4 linked regions of the Macaca mulatta genome follow. The protein of the gene in region 3 binds, or shares a complex with, the protein of the main gene of each other region. Links are inferred from orthologs where the notes say so. Each region holds a gene or a part of one and is shown on either strand. Other genes may lie near its edges.

Region 1 (6,109 bases), on a different chromosome or scaffold from region 3:
GACTGCCTAGACTTCCTGTATGTGTGACAAAAAATAAACTCAAGTTTTTAACCCATTTCTTTGTTGCGGTTGCTCTTTTTATATAGTGTTTTTGTTTTTATGGTGGCCACGTATTACTTCAGAAATTAGATTTAAAAAACAAACAAGGCCAGGCGTGGTGGCTCACGCCTGTAATCCCAGCACTTTGGGAGGCTGAGGCGGGTGGATTACCTGAGGTCGGGAGCTCAAGACCAGCCTGACCAACATGGAGAAACCCCATCTCTACTAAAAATACAAAATTAGCCAGGCATGGTGGCGCATGCCTGTAATCCCAGCTACTCGGGAGGCTGAAGCAGGAGAATCACTTGAACCCGGGAGGTGGAGGTTGCGGTGAGCCAAGACTGCGCCATTGCACTCTAGCCTGGGCAAAAAGAGCGAAACTCCGTCACACACACACACACACAAAATGCTAGGAAGCATGACAATCAGCAAAGTACTGAATTGTTTATCAATGTGGCAAGAGAGTTAAATTCATAATGGATGATGCAAAAAAAAAAAACAACGGGGGTGAGGGGCTGATACCAAGAAAGGTAAAATGATGACAGTTCTAGGCTGGGAGTGTTGGCTCACGTCTATAATCCTAGCACTTTCGAGGGCTAAGGTGGGAGGATCACTTGAGCCCAGGAGTTCGAGACCAGCCTGGGCAACAAGTGACAAAAAAACCCAAAAATTCAGCCAAGCATGACGGCAAGGGTCTGTAGTCCCAGCTACTCAGGAGGCTAAACTGGGAGGATCACTTGAGGCCAGGAGTTGGAGACCAGCCTGGGGAACATAGTGGGACCTCGTCTCTACAAAAACATAAATATTTAAATAAAAAAAAAAAAAAGTCCAGCCTGGGCAACATGGCAAAACCCCATCCCTACCAAAAAATACAAAAATGAGCCGGGGATGATGGCATGTGCCTGTAGTCCCAGCTACTCAGGAGGCTGAGGCCGGAGAATCACTTGAGCCCAGGAGGCAGAGGTTGCAGTGAACCAAGATTGCACCACTGCACTCCAGCCTGGGTGACAGTGAGACCCTGTCTGCAAAAAAAAAAAAGCGAACATAATAGAGTTACTACATAACCCAGCAATTTCACTCCTTGAATAAAAAACTCAAGAGAATTAAAAACATTGTCCACAACCTTGTACACAAATGTGCGTATCATCAGCATTATTCATAATGGTCAAAAAGTGGAAACAACCCAATTGTCTATCAAGCGATGGATAAACAAAATTTGGTATATTCATATAACAGATTATTATTCAGCTAAAAAAGGAATTAAGTATTGATACCTGCTATATAAGAATGAACCTTAAAAGCGTTATGTCAGCCAGATGCGGTGGCTCACTCCTGTAATCCCAGCACTTTGGGAGGCCGAGGTGGGCTGATCACGAGGTCAGGAGATCAAGACCACCCTGGCTGACATGGTGAAAGCCCGTCTCTACTAAAAATAAAAAAAAATAGGCTGAGCGTGGTGGCGGGCGCCTGTAGTCCCAGATATTCGAGAGGCTAAGGCAGGAGAATGGCATGAACCCAGGAGGCGGAACTTGCAGTGAGCCAAGATTGCGCCACTGCACTCCAGCCTGGGCAACAAAGCAAGAGCCTCAAAAAATAAAAAATAAAAAAAATAAAAATAAAGAAAATGTTCTAAAATTAGATTGTGGTAATGGCTGCACAACTGTGAATATACTAAAAACCATTATATTGTACATCTTAAGTAAGTTAATTTTATAGTATGTGAATTATATCTCAATAAAGCTGTTTAAAAAAAAAAATACAGCTGGCCTGGTGGCTCACACCCGTAATCCCAGTAGGTTGGGAGGTTGAGGTGGGCAGATCGCTTGAACCCAGGAGTTCAAGACCAGCCTAGGAAACATGATGAAACCCCTATCTCTACAAAAAAATACAAAAAATTATCTGGGCATGGTGGTGTGCACCTGTAGTCCCAGCTACTAAAGAGGCTGAGGTGGGAGGATCACTTGAGCCTCAGACATGGAGGTTGCAGTGAGCCAAGATCACACCACTGCACTCCAGCCTGGGCCACAAAGTGCAACCCTGTCTCAAAAAAAAAAAAAAAGGCCGGCAGCAGTGGCTCACGCCTGTAATCCCAGCACTTTCGGAGGCCGAGGCGGGCAGATCATGAGGTCAGGTGATTGAGACCAGCGTGGCCAACATGGTGAAACCTTGTCTCTACTAAAAATACAAAATTAGCCAGGCATGGCCAGGCGCAGTGGCTTACGCCTGTAATCCTAGCACTTTGGGAGGCTGAGGCCAGTGGATCACCTGAGGTCAGGAGTTCGAGACCAGCCTGGCCAACATGGCGAAACTCTGTCTCTACTAAAAACTAAAAAAATTAGCTGGGCGTGGCTGCACCACTGCATTCCAGCCTGGGCGAGAGAAGGAGACTGTCTCAAAAAAAAAAAAAAAAAAAAAAGGGAAGAAGAAAAAGTCTACTTACAGCTTAATATGATTAACTACAGAAATCTATCAATGTGAAAGAGTATCTAACAATTTCTAAGACCCAGAAAAGCTGACATCCTAGATAGCTTACCAATTTTGATCTCCACTTCTCATGACAGAAGATGCTAAACACAGCTTCTCTCGGATGGACCATGGCTCTGTGGGGCCAGTACTCAGCAGCTTGTGTTCTGGGAAACGAAAAAAAAAAAAGCCTTGGAAGCAACCACTGAGACTGTAGTGCTAAGCTCCAAAATCCCCAAAAAGGGGACTAAAAGCCTAATACAAAATATTCCAACTTGTTAGGACAAAGTGAGCTACTATCACCAAATCTTGATTTTCACCTCTCCAAGTGAAGTATCACCAGTGACCGTGGTACCAATTTGTTGCATGTGAATTATTAACATTTTATTTCTTAAAACGCCACGGCTTGAAGCTCCGCTTTATTAAAAAATTGGGAATGTCAGATTAGGCAGTTCTCCCTAAAAGCCCAGTTTTAAGAACACTGGACTTTATTCCAGTTTGAACTCATTCAGGGCTTATTTCCCAGGAACCCGAGCGGCCAGCCCCTCCTACAACCCCGCCTCCCTCTTAGCATAAACTTGTTTACTTCTCTCAGATCCTCTACTCCAAATGTCGGGCCTAAAAGACCTTTTCAGTCCACTAAAAGAAAAATGGCTGAAATCCCCGAGATGCAATTTCCTGAGTGGCAAGAAAAGCTCATGGTTAAAAGGCCCCACTTCCACTGCCTCACAAACGTCGAACAAAAAATGAATGGCTCTTTGAGGTGCCGGTTACTCCGTCTGGCTCATAACATCTTTTCGTCTGCACGCCCAAGTTTCTAGAGTGCTTTTACGGTTACCCCGAAGGGCTCCTAACACACTAGGATTCACTAAGCTCCTTCTCTCACACCTCCGCTCCCTCCCTGAGAAACAAGACCCCAGATTTCTGGGCCCCCAAACGTTGGTCTTCACGATGCTGTGGAGCGCAGGTCTCTGAAAACCCTGAGCTCTCAAGCAAACCACTTCTCCCACTCCCTAAGCGTGTAACAAAAATATGGTGCCTAGCCTCGGATCTACAAACGCCTTTCACGCAAAACCTGCTCAGATACTCACTGCCCGTTCCCGTCGCCATCTTGGCCCCGAAGTCTCCAACCCTGAGGAGAGACGGTCTGGTAGGGCCGAAACCCTGGAATTCTGGGAAGTAGAGTACCGGCGTTGGTTCGCGGTGCCTCCTGGGAAATGTCGTTTTTTCCCCTAAGACAAAGCAAGCACCCTAAACCAGTTATCTTGTGCAATCCTTTTAAGATTTTTGCTAAGGAAGGACAGGGGTTGGCGGCTGAAGCCTCAAGATTTCCTTTAGGGTTCTTAGGTAAGAAATGTCTAAGGTTCAAGAAAAAGGGTTAAGCTGGAAGAATCCCAAGCGAAATAACTCCTAACCCGCGACAGTTGGTAACCCGGACCCACATTAGATCTGAGAGGTCAAGCGGATGCAAACTACTGGAATTCCAGTCGGACCCGCCCCTTTTCCTTACGCGGATTGGTAGCTGCAGACTTCCCTATCTCATTGGCCGAACGAACGCAGCGCGTAATTTAAAATATTGTATCGGTAACAAAGCTGCACCTCGTGGGCGGAGTTGTGCTCTCCGGCTGCGAAAGTCCAGGTTCGGCGACTAGGTGTGAGTGAGCCGGTACCCGAGGAGGAGCAAGTGGCACGTCTTCGGGTGAGTGTGCGGCTGTGCTGGAGCCCGGGTTACCAGCTCTTGCCCACGCGGAATAGGCTTTAAGAAATCGGAACTGCAGCCATCTGTTTTTCTCTTAATGCTGCATCTCTGTTCTCACGGTGGTCCTTGAGGTTAGAAAAGGAGCCGAGGGATCCTGACACCACCTCCACAGCACCGGCGGGCGAGGTGCCCTACTTTAGGCCTGGCCTTTTGCTTTTGGAGCCAGATTTCTGTGGACTTCTGTTCGCTTTCAGAAATGCAACCTCAAACTTCTCTCGATTGTTCATTAAGTGAACTTCTCTCATTCCCTTCCCCTTTGCCGATAATTAGAGGGGAAAGGAAGTAGGGAGCGGGACCCGGTGTCCTGGGGCAAGGGACTTATTACCTAAAATTCGCGGCCCCTTCTGTCCCTAAAGGTTCTTCTCCCTGCCCACTTTTTGGTCTCTTTTTAGACCTAGGCTGCCCCTGCCGTCATGTCGCAAGGGATCCTTTCTCCGCCAGCGGGCTTGCTGTCCGATGACGATGTCGTAGTCTCTCCCATGTTTGAGTCCACAGCTGCAGATTTGGGGTCTGTGGTACGCAAGAACCTGCTGTCAGACTGCTCTGTCATCTCTACCTCCCTAGAGGACAAGCAGCAGGTAAAGGAACTGGGGAGTGGCTGGGGCAGAAAGTGACATCCTCAGGTCAATAGTTGTCCATACACGGTAGTATGAGGTCAAAGACTAGCAATCCTGAAGGTTTGAGAGATCAATTCAAAATTAGGGGCATGTAGGACAAAATGGCTACGAAAAGAAAAAAAAATTAAGGGCATGACAAGTAAAAAAAAAATTAAGAGTTGTGTGTCCAGAAGAACTATTATTTGCATTGCATTAATGAAATACCCTCAAGTGCATGCTCTCAGTTAATCAGGAAATAATAGTTATCTCTCTTTGCCTTGAGGCCCAGTTGTGCTAAATAATTTGCACAAGGTCATATAGGCATTATGTAAGTGGAATGTATGTTCAGGTTTTGATAGTATCACCATAGCTTCAATTTGTTGTAGCTTTCCTGCTAGGCCAGGGTTTCTCCATCACAGCATTGTTGACATTTGGGGCTAGACAGTTCTTGTAGGGATCTGTCCTGTATATTGTAAGATGTTTAACAGCATTCCTGACATCTACCCACTAGATGTCAGTAGTGCCTTCCCATTTGTGACAATCAAAAAATGTCTTCAGGCACTTCAGGCATTGCTTAAATGGCCTTTGGAGTGGAAATGACCCTGGTTGAGAAACACTGTACTAGGTCCTATGCTAAACATTAACATACATTGTCACATTTTGTGCTTTTATAGAGTTTCTCTTAGAGACTTAAAAAGTTCCATGACAGCATGGTCCTTGATAATGTCTCTCACTATGGACTATCAGAGCTTCTCAGTTCCTAGGGCATAGTAGGCACTCTAAATATCTGCGGGTTTTTTTGTTTTTTTGGGGTTTTTTGTTTGTTTGCTTGTTTGTTTGTTTTTGAGATGGAGTGTCGCTCTGTCGCCCAGGCTGGAGTGCAGTGGCACAATCTCTGCTCACTGCAACCTCCGCCTCCCCGGTTCAAGTAGTTCTCCCTCCCTCAGCCTCCTCAGTAGCTGGGATTACAGGCACCCCCCACCAAGCCCAGCTAATTTTTGTATTTTTAGTAGAGACGGGATTTTGCTGTGTTGGCCAGGCTGGTCTGGAATGCCTGACCTCAGGTGATCTCCCCCCCTCAGCCTCCCAAAGTGCTGGGATTACAGGCGTGAGCCACTGCGCCCGGCCTCTAAGTATCTGCTGAATTAATGACATGGGTGCTATTATTAACTCCATTCTACAGATGAGGAAATTGAGGCAAAGACTTTTAAGAACTCATAGTTCAAGGTCTCATAGTTACTAAGTGATGGAA
Region 2 (6,112 bases), on a different chromosome or scaffold from region 3:
ACTAAAAATAGAAAAAAATAGCCAAGCGTGGTGGCAGATGCCTGTAGTCCCAGCTACTCAGGAGGCTGAGGCAGGAGAATGGCGTGAACCCGGGAGGTGGAGCTTGCAGTGAGCTGATATCGCGCCACTGCACTCCAGCCTGGGCAGCAGAGCGAGACTCCGTCTCAAAAAAAAAAAAAAGAAAAGAAGTTTGCATTCCTGCATTCCATTTATGGAGAAACTTAAATGTCACACTAATAAACACAATTTTAACCTGCAGGCCAATAATTCTCAATCCCCTCCATCTCCTTATTTGTCCGACCATTGATAATCATTGTTTATGTAAACTAAAGTTACTGAGAGAAATATGTGTCATTCCTCAGATGTGTTGGGACAGAAAAACAGCTGAGTACTGCTACTATGGATAACGGAGAGCCACCGAAGATATAGGGGAGGGGTAACAGTATGTACAAGGGGTATTTCAGAGAGCTCTGGAGGCAGTTAGATGGCCTGAGTAGAGAATGTGAAGTACAGCCTAGACCTGAGGTGATACTGTTTAGGGCTAGAATGGCAGCCATATTAGAAAGAAAAGGGAAAAAAGTCAGTTGAGGGAGAGGGAGTCAACTGGGCTGGGTGACACCTCACACATGTGGCTCTCTCTTCAATCAGTGATGCAGACTAAAGGGCTAATCTTGGTACACATGATGCCAAAGCAAGCAAATAACACAGATGGTTGACCCTCCAAACCAGCCAGAGTTCAATTTTGCACTGATGACCATCATTTCCTCCCAATTGATGCCTGTAAAAGACAGCCTGGGAACACATTAATCCCCTCAGCCTTAATCTGGTATTAAGCCATATCACCGGAGGGTAGTAGATCAACCACACATTAGCTTAGTGCCCAATCAAAATACTTGCACTAAATTACTACCATTCCTTTGCCTTTTATTGAGTCATTAATACACATCACTAGATAAGAGAATGTTTGTATATCATCTACGAAAACCGTTACTTTTTATAATATAAGGATATAATGATAAATGCTCCCTAGGATTTAAGACTGAATAAGTTTGTCTCTCTTGAACAACTTGTATGCTTCTTTCTTACTAAAAAAAGAAATACAAGGTTTGGCTACCAGGAAGCTCACAGCTAAATTTAATATCAATTGCTATTACCATTTTAGCAGAGGTTCCTGGTACAATTACTTCTGATCTGTCTCTATTTTTACCGTTTCTACTTTTTGTTTATATTGTAAGCCTCCTTAAATCCTTGTTGGAAGCATGAAGGGTACATATTAAATAACGAGTCGTAAAATGACAGAAATAGGAAAATGGCCTTAGAGGAGGGATGAGAAAGTTCTATTTTAAACTAGTTGGTCAGGGCTGTGTCAGTAATGACTCAGTGATGTGGGGTTTTTTGTTTTTGTTTTTGTTTTTAAACGGAGTCTCACTGTCGCCCAGGCTGGAGTGCAGTGGAGTGATCCACTGAAACCTCCGCCTCCCAGGTTCAAGCTAGTAGCTGGGATTACAGGCGCGTGCCACCACGCCCAGCTAATTTTTTGTATGTTTAGTAGGGACAGGGTTGCACCATGTTGGTCAGGCTGGTCTCGAACTCCTGACCTTGTGATCCACCCGCCTCAGCCTCCCAAAGTGCTGGGATTACAGGCGTGAGCCACCACACTCAGCCCCTAAATCCTGTGGGTTCTATTCCTTAATTTATCTTCAATCTTTCTGTTTCTCTACTGCCATGCCGCCTTCAAGCCATTCTCATTACAGAGTAAGTAATCTTTCTAAAGTACAAATTTTATCGTGGAACTCGGATGACTCTTCTCAGTCCTCTGGATGAACAGCAAAACTCCTTAACATGGCTCACAAGGCCCTAATGATCTGGCCCATGCCTACTCCCTCCAGGCTTATCAATCTTTAGTCTCCTTCATGCTCTGGAGAATGAAAGTAGACTTGCAGGTCCTAGACCAGGATCTCAACGTCTTTACATACTCTCCCCGATCTGCTCTGTGGACTACCTTTCTCCTTCTCCCACTTTTCATCAAGCTAAGGTCTACTTTTCAAACTGTCCTCAGCTTAAACATCATCCCTCCAGGGATGCCTATCCTGATCAACAGCTTTGGTTCAGATGTATTACCTTAACACTCTATCTTATATCTTACACCTTGTTTTAGTCCTTATCACACATTTTGTTTGTTTTTGAGACAGAGTCCTGCTCTGTCGCCCAGGCTGGAGTGCAGTGGTATGATTTCGGCTCACTGCAACCTCCTCCTCCCAGGTTCAAGCGATTCTCTGCCTCAGCCTCCTGAGTAGCTGGGACTATAGGCGCACGCCACCACGCCTGGCTAATTTTTGTATTTTTAGTAGAGACTGGGGTTTTACCATGTTGGCCAGGATGGTCTTGATCTCCTGACCTTGTGATCTACCTGCCTTGGCCTTCCAAAGTGCTGGGATTACATGCGTGAGCCACTGTGCCCTTCCTATCACACAGTATTTTAACTGTTAACCCAACCAGTTACCCCACTGGGGCATGGAGTATGTAAGGACAGAGCACTGTTTTTAATATTCTCGGTTTCCCTAGAGCCCAATACAACCTATCACCGATGGCATGCACTGGGTATTCAACACATTTAAGAAACGGGTAGATTCAACTAAAAAAATTTAGCAAGTGGCAGCCCAGTCCGGACACCTCACACATAATGTTGAACAAAACAGACCATCCCTAACTTTATACAGTTTACAATGCAATAGGAAAACATAAGCAAGTAAGCAAACCGAATCTAATTACAAACTGAAATATGTTCTGTGGGAGAAATAAATGGGGACACTTGTTAGGATAGTCAAGGAAGGATTATCTTCCTGAGAAAACATATACATTGAGACTTGAAAGCTGAAAAAGGAGTGGGCTAATCTCTACCTTTGGAGCAGTTCCTTTCCATGTCTCAGGTGAATAATCCGGCAGTGGGCCAACAAGTATACATCCAGCGACTGACTACTACTATCTGTGTGCCTGACGTATGCTGGAGGTCAGAAGTACAGTGAGAGATGGAACTACGCAAGTATGCGGTAGGTTTCTGCCGTTCTCTGGAGTGCCTCCGCAAAGCTTCTCCGTCTCATGCCCCTTTGACCCCATCCAGAGGTCTCCCTTGTAGGACTCCACACTATCCGTCCCCCCGCCCCGCCCCGCCCCCCGGCTCCGATTCACCGCACCCATCTAGGGTATCAGCTCCCAGAGCTCCGCTCTATTCCCCGCCTTCTTCTTCTTTGTCCGGAGATCCTCCCTCCAGGGCTCCTCTTCGCTTCCTCCCCTCCCTTTTCCCAGGCTCGGATCTTGCCTCTGTGAAACCTCCATAAGTCGTCTGGTAGAACTCATCTTCCTCCTCTGCCTCCAGAAGCCCGGAAAGCCGGTTCCCAGCGGTCTTCCGGGGTGCCCGGCCCCCAGCCAAACTCATACCGCCTAAGGAGACTGCTCCGCCACCTGCAGCCCCTCACCAGCTCGCTTCTGGGAGCTCGACGCTCGACACCGCTACCTGCGGGTGGACACCAGCGGCGGAAGTCGGGCGTTTACAGGCAGAAGTAACAGAGTGTCGAGAGACTCCTACTCCCACCTTCTAAACCCTCTTTACTCTTCAGCCTCTCCTACTCCTGCGCGGAACCTCTAGGCCGCTTGCCCTAGTGCTCAATGAGTCCACTTGGTGGCACGACGACCCGCATAAACCTAAGTCAACACATTTTCTTTTATTTATTTTTGTTTTTAATATATATATATACACACACACACACATATATGTATTTTTTTCGTAGGGTCGCTCTGTCGCCAGACTGGAGTGCAGTGGCACGATCTCGGCTCACTGCAACCTCCCTCTCCCGGGCTGAAGCAATTCTCCCCGAGTAGCTGGGATTACAGGCGCCCGCCACCATGCCCAGCTAATTTTTGTATTTTTAATAGAAACGGCTTTCACCATGTTGGCCAGGCTGGTCTCAAACTCCTAACCTCAGGTGATCCGCGCGCTTCGGCCTCCCAAAGTGCTGGGATTACAGGCGTGAGCCACCGCGCCAGGCTCACATTTTCTTTTAGAAGAGGTCATTCTCCCCGGTCCAGTCCGTTTTCCACACTGCTGCCAGTAGGAAACTTTCAAATTTTCTAAAAACCCAGATTTTGCCAGTCCTCTCCTCAACATTTTTTAATGGCTCCACATCATCTACAAGATAAAGTCCAAAATCCTTGAGAAAGAAAGCATAATATTGTGGTTAAAAACACAGCCATAGACATTTATCCGAAGGAAAGGACATAATTCAACATAAGGAAGCTGATTTAGGAAAAAAAAAAAAAAAAAGGAAATCAGTATTTCCAAGAGACGTCCGCACTCCATATTTATGCACCCCCATATTTAATGCAGCACTGCTTATAGTAACCAAAATAGGAAATCAATCTAGGTGTCCAACAACAGATGAATAAAGGAAATGAGGTGTATATACACAAATGAATACTATTTAGCCATTAAAAGGAACAAAATCCTGTCATTTGCAGCAACATGGACGGAATTGGAGGACACGTTAACTGACTTAAGCCACGAACAGAAATTTAAACACTGCGTGTTCTCACTCATATGTGGACGCTTTAAAAAAATTGATTTCATAGAAATAAAAAATAGAACAGATGATACTGGGGGCTGGGAAGTGCAGGGGGAAGGAAGGGACAGGGAAAGATTTGTTTTTTTTGTTGTTGTTGTTGTTTTTTTGAGACGGAGTCTCGCTCTGTCGCCCAGGCTGGAGTGCAATGGCCGGATCTCAGCTCACTGCAAGCTCCGCCGCCTAGGTTTACGCCGTTCTCCTGCCTCAGCCTCCCGAGTAGCTGGGACTACAGGCGCCCGCCACCTCGCCCCGCTAGTTTTTTGTATTTTTTAGTAGAGACGGGTTTCACCGTGTTAGCCAGGATGGTCTCGATCTTCTGACCTCGTGATCCGCCCCTCTCGGCCTCCCAAAGTGCTGGGATTACAGGCTTGAGCCACCGCGCCCGGCCAGATTTGTTAAAAGACACAAAATTGTGGCTCACACCTGTAATCCCAGCACTTTGGGAAGCCGAGGGTGTGGATCATGAGGTCAGGAGTTCACGACCAGCCTGGCCAAGATGGTGAAACCCCATCTCCACTAAAAATACAAAAATTAGCTGGTCATAGTGGTGGGCACCTGTAATCCCAGCTACTCGGGAGGCTGAGGCAGAGAATTGCTTGATCTCGGGAGTCGGAGGTTGCAGTGAGCCAAGATCGCACGCCATTTGCACTCCAGCCTGGGAAACAGAGGGAGACTCCGTCTCAAAAAAAAAAAAAAAAGACAAAATTGGGCCGGGCACAGTGGCTCACGCCTAGTAATTCCAGCACTTCGGGAGGCTGAGGCAGGCAGATCACGGGGTCAAGAGATTATGACCATCCTGGCCAACATGGTGAAACCCCGTCTCTACTACAAATACAAAAATTAACTGGGTGTGGTGGCACACACCTGCAGTCCCAGCTACTCGGGAAGCTGAGGCAGGAGAATCGCTTGAACCCGGGAGGCAGAGGTTGCAGTGAGCTGAGATCGTGCCACTACGCCCCAGCCTGGCAACAGAGCAAGACGCCATCTGAAAAGAAAAAAAAAAAAAAAGACACAAAATTACCATTTTTTTTTGAGACGGGGTCTCTGTTGCCCAGGCTGGAGTGTAGCAGCAGGATCATGGCTCGCTGGCTCCTTGACCTCCTGGGCTCAAGCTGTCCTCCCACCTTGGCCTCCCAAAGTGAGAGGTTTACAAAGTGAGCTGATTAAAGCCGTGAGCCACCACACCGGCCCCAAATTACATTTGTTTGTTCATTTGTTCATTTGTTTGTTTGAGATAGGATCTCACTCTGTCGCCCAGTCTGGAGTGCAGTGATGCAATCACTGCTCACTGTGGTCTCGACCTCCTGGGTTCAAGCGATCATCCCACCTCAGCCTCCCAGGTAACTGGAACTACAGGCTCACATCACCACACCCGGCTAATTTTTTGTACTTTTTGTGAAGATGAGATTTCTTTATGTTGCCCACAGTGGTCACCTGGACTCAAGTGATCCCCACTCCTCAGCCTGTCAATGTGCTGGAATTACAGGCCTGAG
Region 3 (5,489 bases):
CGGTTCACCTCAACCTCTGCCTCCTGGGTTCAAGTGATTCTCCTGCCTCAGCCTCCCGGGTTCAAGTGATTCTCCTGCCTCAGCCTCCCAAGTAGCTGGGATTACAGACATGAGTCACCACGCCTGGCTAATTTTTTAGTATAGAAAGCATTTCTAGAAAGATTTGGTAAAGCTTGTTTGCCATCAACTTGGATTTCTTACCAGTATCACTCCAGAAAGTTTTGCTTTCTAAGAAAAATGGGTTTATTAGGCTTCACATCTACTGTAAGCATCAAGCATCTGCTAATGTTTTTTTGTTTGTTTTTTTGGGATAGAGTCTTGCTGTGTTGCCCAAGCTGGAGGTAGTGGCGCAATCTTGGCTCACTGCAACCTCTGCCTCCCAGGTTCACGCGATTCTCCTGCCTCAGCCTCCTGAGTAGTTGGGACTACAGACGCCCGCCACCACACCTGGCATATTTTTTGTATTTTTGGTGGAGACAGGTTTCACCGTGTTAGCCAGAATGGTCTCAATCTCCTGACCTCGTGATCCGCCCGCCTCAGCCTCCTAAAGTGCTGGGATTATAGGCGTGAGCCACTGCACCCGGCTGCTAATTTTTCTTTTTAAATAAAGTTTTTAAAAAGGATTAAATTTTAGTAGGTTTTACATATTATTTCAAGAGTCATTCACAGGCTCTATTCTTTACCATGTATACTTTAAATACTGTGGTAATCATTTCTCCTGTCAGTAAAACATCAGTGTTTCTCATTATTGCAAGGGTTTGCCTTTTATGGCATACTGCACCTTTAAGCACAATACATAACGCACAATCATCAGTTCTCACAAGAGATAGCATTTTCTGTCCAAGAACACTGTGACTCCAATTAGTTAACAATTAGAAAATGTATGTGAACACCACGTGGTGACCCACTTTTCTTATGTCCTTTGTATTGCTGGGACTTAGCCTTTTTCTTCTGTTTTGATGAAGCTGATTGGTTTTCTCTTGATGCTGAAAAATAAAAAGGAAAATTGGTACCAGATAATTGTTTACAATTTAGATGATACAGTTGTCTAGATACAACTTAGATGAACTATCTTTACCAAGACTTATTTAAGTACATCATGGTCTGAAAATAAGGATACTTGTTCCTACAAAACCACAGCCTCAAAACGAGACAGATTCCACTATTTACTCAAAACCATTTATTACATACCAATAAACTTTTAGTCTGTAATTTTTAACTCACTAAAATAGTAAGTCTAGTTTAATTTGGTGACTGTTGTGTTTCTATAGTCATTATGTAACTGACTATTGGATTCACACTGCCATGGTACACATGGTCTGATTCTGTGATATTGTTGTTGAGTCTTAATGTCTTACCTGGCAACCAATCAGACATAGGTATATTCTTGTCCTGTGAGCTCAAAAGATGACTTATGTGAGATAGTCCTCTGGAGAATTGCTGATTTTTACAAAAGGACACCTTTTCTGTATACCAACTTACACTGTGATGCTGGAGGCTGTAGTTGATATCCAGTTAACTGACACCACCCTACAGGATAGAGGTCAGGGGACTCACAGTCTACCCACTGATCATACTCTTCTTCCCATCCATCAAAATGTATCCTCAAGAGACGATGAATAATTCGAGTTACTGTGGCTACACATATTAAACGTGGCTCCATGAGATCTACTGCTTCTAATTTCATTCCTACACGAAATCCGTGATTTGGAACATCCTGACACAGAGAAGAAAACATTAATATTGGTATAAAGAAAGAATGCGCAACCCTACTACCATTAAGAAAGCAAAAAACAGACGCGACAAGGTAAATAACATAATTTAAACCAAAAATTCCAAATAATTCTTTAACTATTTAAACATAATATGAAGGTGAAGCATTGAAAAACTAGTTAGGAAAAGTATTCATTTCATTTTCATTCGGATTAAACATGAAACATAGTTTGGAAACAAGTTTTGATTCCTAGGTAAAGAAAATATTCATATTGTTTCATTGCTATATATCTGTTTATATTACATCTCCAATGAGAAATTCTAATATAAAGCAAAGACATTTTTATGAACATAAATTGTATTTGTGGGGCATTAATAAGTCCTCACATAATTATGCTGCCATTTAAATTTACCTTATTAAATAGTTTTACTGGTGCTGCAATGGAGCCAGTTTCCCTGAGGTAGTCAAACCATTTAAAAGGAAGTTTTGTGTAACCTAAAAAACACAACTGGTTTAACTAGCAGTTCATTTAAAATTAGCATAATATTAAAATGCAGACAAAAAGTAACAGTATACAAAATCTTAAGAGCATAGGTTACATGATCAATTTTATTTTTTTTGAGACAGGGTCTTGCTCTGTCACCCAGGCTGGAGTGCAGTAGTGCTCTCAACGACTTACTGCAGCCTCAACCTCCAGGGCTCAAGTGATTCTCCTGCCTCAGCCTCTCTAGTAGCTGCGAATACACGTGCATGCCACTGTGACAGGCTAATTTTTTGTTGTTTTTAGTAGAGACAAGGTCTCCCTATGTTGCTCAGGTTGTTCTCAAACTTCTGGTCTCAAGCAATCCTCCTGCCTCAGTCTCTCAAAGTGCTGGGATTACAGGCGTGAGCCACTGCACCTGGCCTATATGATTTATACTGCTAGTGCAATAATTCTTCCATGTTACACAGATTTCCCTCCCCTTTCTAGAAACACTGGTACGCCCACTTAGTGTAACGCAAAAGTGGCTCTCTTTTTCTGTTTACTACAAGGGTACACTTGCTCTTTCAATCCTAGGCTTTAGAAGAGTCTAGCACCTAATACTATGGAGTGATATTTTTCTTTCCTTGCAAGAAAGAAAACTGGCTGAGCAAATGCCATGTTTATAGACCTCTGTTATAGCTTTCCTCCTTTCTTAGAGGAACAACTTAATGCTCAAGTATTAAAATTTGGAAAATGACTGGTTAAACCATGAGTAAAACAGCCATCCTTTTATAAGTCCACATAGGGCTGGGTGCAGTGGCTCACACCTATAATCCCAGCACGTTGGGAGGCCAAGGTGGGCAGATCATTTGAGACCAGGAGTTTGTGATGAGCCTGGCCTACATGGTGAAACCCCATCTCTATTAAAAATAGAAAAATCAGCTGGGCGTGGTGGTGCACACCTGCAATTCCAGCTACTTGGGAGGGGAGGCACAAGAATCACTTGAACCTGGGAGGTGGAGGCTGTAAAGAGGTGAGATAGCATCATTGCATTCCAGCCTGGGTGACAGAGCGAGACTGTCTCAAAAAAAAAAAAAAAAAAGTCCACATAGCTAAATGTGGTGGTTCACTCCTAATCCCAGTGCTTTGGGGAGGCTGAAGTGGGAGGATCACTTGAGGCCAGGATTTCAAGACCAGCCTGGGTAACACAGTGAGAGTCCCGTCTGTACATACAAAGAAAAAAGAAAAAAAAAAAAAAAAAGTCAGACATGGTTGTGCCTTTCAGCTATAGTTTCAGCTACTAGGGAGGCTGAGGTGGGAGGATTGCTTGGACCCAGGAATTGGAAGTTACCGTGAGCTATGATTGTGCCACTGCACTTCAGCCTGGGCAACAGAGTAAGACCCTGTCTTTACTGGGGGAAAAAAAAAATTATATATGCCATAGCCTGTTGAGCCTGTATTACTGACTCAACAGAGTTTGAGAATACCAATTCATGTTATAAAATACACAGATGCTCAGGAAAAATTATATACTACTGTAATTTATTAAAGTAAGCTAGAATACAGTACTTTATATTTTTAGAGCAACCTACAGCTCCTGTATGTATATGTATATCCACACACATTATATACATACTCAGGAAATCTAGAGCTGTGTTAAATGTTGTAAATGGAAACCATGTAAGAAGAAAGTAAAGATTAAACTCCAGTGTTTATATTAGGATGAAGTACCTCTGGGTGGAGTAAGTTCGATCATGTTAATTTCACAGAAACCGACAGGAAAAATAGAAGGAGAGGTTGCATGGTAACAGAACCAGTCAGATCCGTCTGCTGCTTCTGAGCCATCGATCCCAATCATCAGGAATCCATCAGCTAGCACCTTTTAAATTAAGAGAATTCTAAGTACTTGAAATTAGATACTACTATTACAAAAATAATACTTTGACATTCTAAAAGAAAGGAAAATCTATTATATAAAGGTCTCTTCAAAGTGAAACATGCTTCTCTATTGAGTTATGTTAAATAACAGAAGTTCTAATGAAAAAAACCTATGTAAATTCTAGTGTGTTCCAGAAATAAAAGCAGGATTACCTAGAACTGACCTCAGAGGTCTGGGAAAAGCAGTGCCTTTGACCATGGCTATAGCTGCCTGCTGTCGCAGCATCATGAAACTGGGGCTGAGTGCTCTTATAATTTACCTATCTAGTTTCAGCTAGGCTCCAAATCCTACTTGATATCACTTTTACTTCTTTCTTTCTGATTTATCACATAGAGTTTTTACAAACCGTCTCCACTTTCTTCAACCTCCAACTTCATCTCTTTTATGCTACAGATAACCATACTCCTCTATGGCAGATGCTAAGGCTGGTCCACGTTAAGGGTCCTCTTGTTTGTTTCTTCACGCCTCAGAGACTGTTGTAACAAGTAACCCACTCCCCCTTTTTGAGACAAGGTCTTGCTCTGTCATTCAGGCTGGAGTGCAATGGTGCAAACATGGCCCACTGCAGCCTTGACCTCCCCGGCTCAAGTAGCTTCTGTCTCTGCCTCCTGAGTAGCTAGGACTACAGGTGCACACCATCACACTTGGCTAATTTTTTAATTTTTATTTTGTAGAGATGGGGTCTCACCATGTTGCTCAGGCTGGTCTCAAACTCCTAGGCTCAAGTGATCCTTCTGCTTTGGCCTCCCAAAGTGTTGGGATTATAGGCATGAGCCACCACTCCCGGCTGTCCCCACTCCGCCTTTTTTTTTTTTTGAGACGGAGTTTCCCTTGTCACCTAGGCTGAAGTGCAATGGGTTGATCTTGGCTCACTGCAACCTCTGCCTCCCGGGTTCAAGTGATTCTCCTGCCTCAGCCTCCCAAGTAGCTGGGATTACAGGCATGTGCTAGCATGCCCAGCTGATTTTTGTATTTTTAGTAGAGATGGGGTTTCATCACGTTGGCCAGGCTGGTCTTGGAACTCCTGACCTAAGGTGACCCACCCACCTTGGCCAGGCTGCCCCCACTCTTTAAAACTAAGATAAACTTCCCCATCTTGTCCTATTACCATTGGAATTTTGCTTTCAAAAGACCATCTCTTATATTCTAATGTTCCCAATTTCCATTATATTAAAAATATTTTGGCCGGGCGCGGTAGCTCATGCCTATAATCCCAGCACTTTGGGAGGCCAAGGTAGGCAGATCACCTGAGGTCAGGAGTTCGAGACCAGACTGGCCAACATGGTGAAACCCTGTCTCTACTAAAAATACAAAAATTAGCCAGGCATGGTGCAGGCGCCTGTAATCCCAGCTACTTGGGAGGCTGAGGCAGG
Region 4 (6,035 bases), on a different chromosome or scaffold from region 3:
TTCTGCAGCTCAGCTGATACATGTTCCAACAATAAGAGTTACATTTATTAACTAAAATATACAATGTGTAAGTTTTATTTTTGGTTTCTGTGGAGTGTATATTTATACTGACTGAATTGGGAACCATTTATTATCTCATTTCCCTTAATATGGAACACTCCCTGAGGAAGCTCAGTTTACACTGAAATGATGGACTTCTATTTATGATAGCATACCATTTTAGCTACTCTGAAAGAGCCACCTGGCGAAAACAACTAAAAGTGCTAGATTTTAAAAAATACACTGATGAACTAGTAGGAAATTAAGGAATTTTCAGAGGTAATATAAAAGGGGAAAAAGAAGGAAAATGAAAATATCCTGAGAAATAAATGCAAGTCAAAGTAGGCTTTTGTTCAGATACTATCTGTCAAGTTCTGGACACCTAGAGCTCTTGCTTTAATAGCTGTGCAGCATGCCAGGGTCAGAAGATAAACCCAAGTATCAGTTCAAAAGGAAGAGTCTTATAGCAGACAAAAATCTGGGACCCCAATGGACTATACGCTCCATGTAAGGGTAAATGACTTATAAGCCTCATGCACAAAATAGGCCAGTAATGAAACGTGTCTTGGCCTTGGAGCCCAGCAAAGAAAGAAAGAAAAAATTCTCCTCTGAGAATCTGTAACAATTCATTTGGGATAGAGGCCCAAATTCAATCTATCTGTGCAATACAATAAACCTCAAGTGGACAATTTAATCTGGTCCTAGGGTTTATGATGTCTCCAAACAAATTGACAAGCAAATTCTAACGCTCTCCAGGAAAACTCAATTTCAACTCCAGCCTCAAAGAATCCTTATGCTTGTAATCCCAGAAACAGGAATTCAGAGTCCAAAATCACAATCCAACAGGAAATAGGCACCATAAGCAAAAGTGCCCATTTCTGAAGCAATAGCGCAAAAAGGCCCACACATTTTTCAATATTAGGTTTAACGGAAACAAGATACAGACTAAATAATTTGTATAAATTAGAAAATGGCTTGAAAAGAGAACCAAATAGAACTTCTAAACCTGAAAAATTCTGAAAATTCTAAAATAAAACATATAAAAGAAAGATTAAGATAAATAAGAGAATAAAGAGAGTAAGTCTTAACGGAAAAAATGAGAAATAAGCAATACTGAAAAGACAATCGTTGAAAATTTTCTAGAATTGTTGCAAGACACCAATCCTGAAATTCGGGAATCCCCTCAAATCCTAAGCATAATTTTAAAAATTTAAGGAAAGAAAAGGGAATAAGGAAGGAATTTAGACTTAGATCACTGCAAAACTGCAAAAAGACGTCAAAGAGATCTTAAAAGCAACCAGAAGGAGGAAGGATGGGAAAGAGGAAAGGAAGAAAGGAGGAAAAGAAGGGAGAAAAAGATTGAAAGTACTTGATTTTAGATGCAAGTAATGAAAAAATTAACTAGAAACTAAAAAATTCTAATTCTTATTCAGATCGAAGTAAGGTTCCGCTGAGATTCATCATGATTCATCATTCACGACAGGGAAGTTTCCTGCTTAAGATGAGTGAAAACCTTGAGTAAGAGTATGTAATGGAGAAGGAAAGCAGGGAACACACACACACAGTTTCAACTGCAATCTGAAAAACAGAAAATGAAAAATAAATTATCAACTAATGACAATTTCCCCAGAAAATCGAAGAGCTAAGAAGAGAGGAAAACAACACCTAGTATTTATTGAATGCAAGAGTTTTTAATAAAAACAATGTAAAAAGAAACTGAGTAGGGACGTACTAACTATATCACAGGAAAACCTTCGCTGGGAGACGTCGAAAAGTAGAAAAAGAACGCCCAAGACAACCAACCTCGAATATGGACTATTTACTCAACATAAAGTTACTGCTATTACAGCCTATTCGAGATGAAGGCTCCATCCGTAATTCATGGCTGCTCACTATGATGATGATGATGATTATTACTATTATTTGTGGGTGCACATTGTATGTATAGATCAATTACATTAGAATGACGATTAGACGGACTGCAAACTACAATATGTAAGTGGCTATTGACACTATTTGTGCATCTTTTAATCTGGGAAATGCATATTCACTCCACAGTCTCAGTATAAACCATTTCAAAATTACACGTAAGACAACCAGGTGTCTCTCTTATATTTTAGGAGTGAATAATGAGGATAAATTCCAGCAGAGAGTTCTGGTTTAAGTAACCCAAATTCCCCGAACTTTGCTGATTATCCTAGCGTTTAGAACCTTTGCTATTTGCCTGGCACTTCTTGAAACCCATGACTCACAAACGCCGGGGCATGGAATCACAGCAAAGAACAGGTGAAAAGTTGTTCCTAGTTGTGTTATGCAGGCGCACACAACTCCCGCCATTCTCTGTGCAAAAATCAACAAATAAACAGAGGCACCGCATTTCGGATTCTGTTACGCACTGTTTGCAATGGCGCCTGGTATTGGTAGTTTCTACGAGGGGAGCCGCCAGCGCGCCAACCCTTGCTCAGCAGGAAGAAAACTACATTTCCCACAAAGGCACGGGGGCGAACACCGGCCGGCTTACGTCATTCCTTTAACCAACCAATAGCAGTTCCGGGCGGCAGTGAGGCAAGCGCCGTCAGGCGCCAAAGTGGTTTTTTTTTTTTTCTCTTTTTTTTTTTTTTGCCGGAGTCGAGCGGGTGCTGCTAGCGGAGGCGCCATATTGGAAGGGACAAAACTCCGGCGACAGCGAGTGACACAAATAAACCCCTGGACCCCCTTGTTCCCTCAGCTCTAAGGGCCGCGATGTTGTACCTAGAAGACTATCTGGAAAGTGAGTGCGCGGCGCTGGCGGCGGCCGCCGGTGGGACCTGCGGGAGGGCAAGAGCGCGAGTGGACGGGCAGCGAGATGGCGGGAGGGAGGGGGCGGCGGGGGATGTTTCTCTCTCACGGTAACTGGCAGCCTCGTTGTGGGCTGCCGGCCCCCTCGACCCCCCTGACGCACGCGCGCAGTGACGTAAGCGCGTATTTCGCCGTTGGCCCCGCCCCTCTGACGGACTCTCCCTTTGACAGTGATTGAGCAGCTTCCTATGGATCTGCGGGACCGCTTCACGGAAATGCGCGAGATGGACCTGCAGGTGCAGAGTAAGTCGGCGCGTCTGCTCTTCATGTTGGCTGCGCGCGTTCAGTGCCAGACTTGCTTTTCATCACTGCTAGCGCCTAATGCTCTTTCACTGTCCTCTGGCTCACTCCGCTAGTGCATAAGGAGTTGTCAAAAAGAACTGGCAGCCCTGAATCTCGCCTTTTCCTTCCCTCCCATGCTACTTTTTTCTGGCTTTTGCAAGAGGAGGCGGCATTGGGACAGGTGTATTCCTTTCTAGAATGTAGGATTGTGCAAAAAATATTTCTCTACCGTCATTGAGATAGTTATCTATGTTTCAATGCACGTCAGCATAATAAATGTTGAGATGTTGTCTTGAGCCTTTTCGTATCGAACTTAGATTTCAGCATTTATACTTATTTTAAAGTTCATCCTATTCAGTTTTTCAAGAGTGGAGAGCATAGAAGCACAGGTTATATATAGCTCTTTAGAGACCCTGGCGAATGTCAAATTTTGAAAACTTAGTTACACATTATAAGGTACATTTTAAATTGTAACAGAATCGTCATTTTCTTGGTTATAATGAGTGACAGAAATTAGATTTCACTGTAAAGTTTCATATGTGCTGTACTAAAAATTTTAGCAGTTAGTGAACATTTATTTTTCTTTCAGTGATAGCTTGGTAGTCTCTGTGACTTTTTCCCCAAATTAACTTTACTCTTTCGTAGAGCAAGGACTATAAATAGGTGGCTTAGGGACCACTTGCTGCAGCTAAGAACCTGTCCTTTTCACTGCCCCTGTCTTCTCTGCCCGTGACCACACACCCACTTCTATACCCTTTGTTTATGCGTATATTTTTCCAGTAAGTTTCAGGTGGCACATAATAAAAAGTGGTGGCATGGAAGCCACCTTCTGTTCAGTGGATTGTGGTATGAAGTATGAATTGTGTGTGTGGTTCTCCAGCTATCTCACAAATTCATTTTAATTTTAGTGTAGTCGAAATGCTAAAGATTTGCTGAAGTATTTTCTGCAGGACTGAGCATAGACATGGATGTCAGATAGATCTGAGTTTGTTTTAGGGCTTTACTAATTTACTCATTGACTCTGACTGTATTACCACTTGTGTGGGGCTTTCATTGTCTGTAAAAAGAGAATCATCTAAGGATTTAAAATATTACAGATGGATTAGAATTTATAGTATCTGATACAAAGTAGGCATTAAATAAAGGGTAACTTATTTTAAATTTATTTTTATATTTTGTTTAAAATTTTAAATTCTCATAATTTGGGCTTACAGTATACATATTACAGGGTTTTTAAACGTGCATTTCTTTACAGTAACGAATTTTCTGAAGTTAATAGATATTATGGATTAACAGAACAGTGTGCCAAATAAATTCAGAAATGCTTATTTAAACAAAGGAAGATACTGAAAATTAACCATAGTACTTCACAGAGTCTTTAAAAGGCTATTGTGGACTGAAAATCTCCAAAAGAAGTATGCTATGAAAAGATTTTTCTCAACTTACGTAACAACAGAATCCTTTTTATTAATTTTTCCTTTTTTTTAAGCAGACATCCAATGAGATGATTAGTCTTAGCACTTAATTTGGGGAAAATTTATCTAGAATTAATGTTTAAATGATTGCACCTACTACTTTCAGTTGGGATATGACATGATGAGATGTTTAATGCCTTATACCAAATCTTTTTATCACTTTTTCTTGTTGAAAGAAATGTGAGGATTATCTAATGGTGTTTTCATTGTGTTTTGGTACATTTGTCTGATTAACACCTATAGCTTTTGACCCCAAGGCTGTATTGCTCAAAAATTATAGGATAGAGCCGATCTACTTTGTTGACTCTACTTTGGCTATTGGAAAAAATTTTGAAATAACAAAAACAAAAATAATCTGTCAATAAGGAAAATTGTAACTTTTTAAAGGAAGGTAATTGAGGCTTTATATATTTACATAATCAAAGCATAACATATTTAAGTTACTGGCAAAGTGAAAGAGTATATATTGTCAGATTTTTTTCCCTCCCTAAATCAAACCATGTATATTTAGTATATGAATTTGGTCATTTAATATGATTTTTTTATTATGTCATAGATGCAATGGATCAACTAGAACAAAGAGTCAGTGAATTCTTTATGAACGCAAAGAAAAATAAACCTGAATGGAGAGAAGAACAAATGGCATCCATCAAAAAAGTATGTGCGACACTTTGGATAATTTATCAAGAAATATTGGGACCCTCTGAAAAAGATATTTCAAAATTAAATAGTGATCTGGATATCAAAATAAGGGAATATTATCAATGACTCTTTAGAATGTAAATAATTTAGTGTGGTTTAGAGCTTCAGATAGCGATTTTTAGTCATTAAAGCATTTTGGTAATTAAAAATATTGTTTCAATAATTAGTGACTATTAGAAAGTGACAGACCATTTAAAAGTTACATTTTTTTTCTATTTGTTTTATTCTAGTTGTGTATGATTAATGTTGAGTCATTTCCAGAGATGGAGTACTGTATTCCAGTTTTGTCCACAAACTAGCGTAAATAAACATCAGCAGACCTTGAAGAATATTTTATATATTGCTAGGTACTTGAATTAGTGGACCCACAGAAGAACAAAATCTTAAAAGTTAGAAGGAACTTAAGAAAGCCTTTTAGTTAAAAACTCCAAATTTGCACGTGAATTGGTCTGGAAACATAGAATTCTTTGAGGTTTTGTTAGTTTTATAGTGGTTATAGCTGTCTTCCAGAACTGAGTGAGTATACACTCACATCTCAAAGTTTGCTTTACAAATATGATCCAGTTCATTCCGGGATGGATACATTTGAAGAACAACTGAAAATACTTGAGTTTGGTCATGACTCTGCTATTTAGCTGTGTGACATTAAATCTTGATATTTCTGACTAATAATGCCTTCCGAAACCCAGTGTTCATAGA

Evidence for each region.
Region 1: MBTD1 (region 3) and BRD8 share a complex: the UniProt entries of both Homo sapiens proteins name them as parts of the nuA4 histone acetyltransferase complex. The link is inferred for Macaca mulatta from reciprocal best matches to the Homo sapiens genes MBTD1 and BRD8.
Region 2: MBTD1 (region 3) and VPS72 share a complex: the UniProt entries of both Homo sapiens proteins name them as parts of the nuA4 histone acetyltransferase complex. The link is inferred for Macaca mulatta from reciprocal best matches to the Homo sapiens genes MBTD1 and VPS72.
Region 4: MBTD1 (region 3) and ING3 share a complex: the UniProt entries of both Homo sapiens proteins name them as parts of the nuA4 histone acetyltransferase complex. The link is inferred for Macaca mulatta from reciprocal best matches to the Homo sapiens genes MBTD1 and ING3.

The regions. Positions count from the first base shown.
Region 1 is NC_133411.1:147,032,148-147,038,256, forward strand, and holds the start of BRD8 (bromodomain-containing protein 8), read right to left. Parts: upstream 3,655-6,109; 5' UTR 3,613-3,654; coding exon 3,594-3,612; intron 2,670-3,593; coding exon 2,573-2,669; intron 1-2,572. Other genes in the region: kinesin-like protein KIF20A, read left to right, coding at 4,675-4,839. UniProt on the Homo sapiens protein: May act as a coactivator during transcriptional activation by hormone-activated nuclear receptors (NR). Isoform 2 stimulates transcriptional activation by AR/DHTR, ESR1/NR3A1, RXRA/NR2B1 and THRB/ERBA2.
Region 2 is NC_133406.1:115,896,663-115,902,774, reverse strand, and holds the start of VPS72 (vacuolar protein sorting-associated protein 72 homolog), read right to left. Parts: upstream 3,473-6,112; 5' UTR 3,437-3,472; coding exon 3,320-3,436; intron 1,984-3,319; exon of another isoform or gene 1,644-1,983; intron 1-1,643. UniProt on the Homo sapiens protein: Deposition-and-exchange histone chaperone specific for H2AZ1, specifically chaperones H2AZ1 and deposits it into nucleosomes.
Region 3 is NC_133421.1:58,808,718-58,814,206, reverse strand, and holds part of MBTD1 (MBT domain-containing protein 1), read right to left. Parts: intron 4,057-5,489; coding exon 3,909-4,056; intron 2,210-3,908; coding exon 2,127-2,209; intron 1,718-2,126; coding exon 1,483-1,717; coding exon of another isoform or gene 1,448-1,482; exon of another isoform or gene 987-1,447; coding exon 909-986; intron 1-908. UniProt on the Homo sapiens protein: Chromatin reader component of the NuA4 histone acetyltransferase complex, a multiprotein complex involved in transcriptional activation of select genes principally by acetylation of nucleosomal histones H4 and H2A.
Region 4 is NC_133408.1:160,719,218-160,725,252, forward strand, and holds the start of ING3 (inhibitor of growth protein 3), read left to right. Parts: upstream 1-2,661; 5' UTR 2,662-2,781; coding exon 2,782-2,809; intron 2,810-3,048; coding exon 3,049-3,120; intron 3,121-5,190; coding exon 5,191-5,291; intron 5,292-6,035. UniProt on the Homo sapiens protein: Component of the NuA4 histone acetyltransferase (HAT) complex which is involved in transcriptional activation of select genes principally by acetylation of nucleosomal histones H4 and H2A.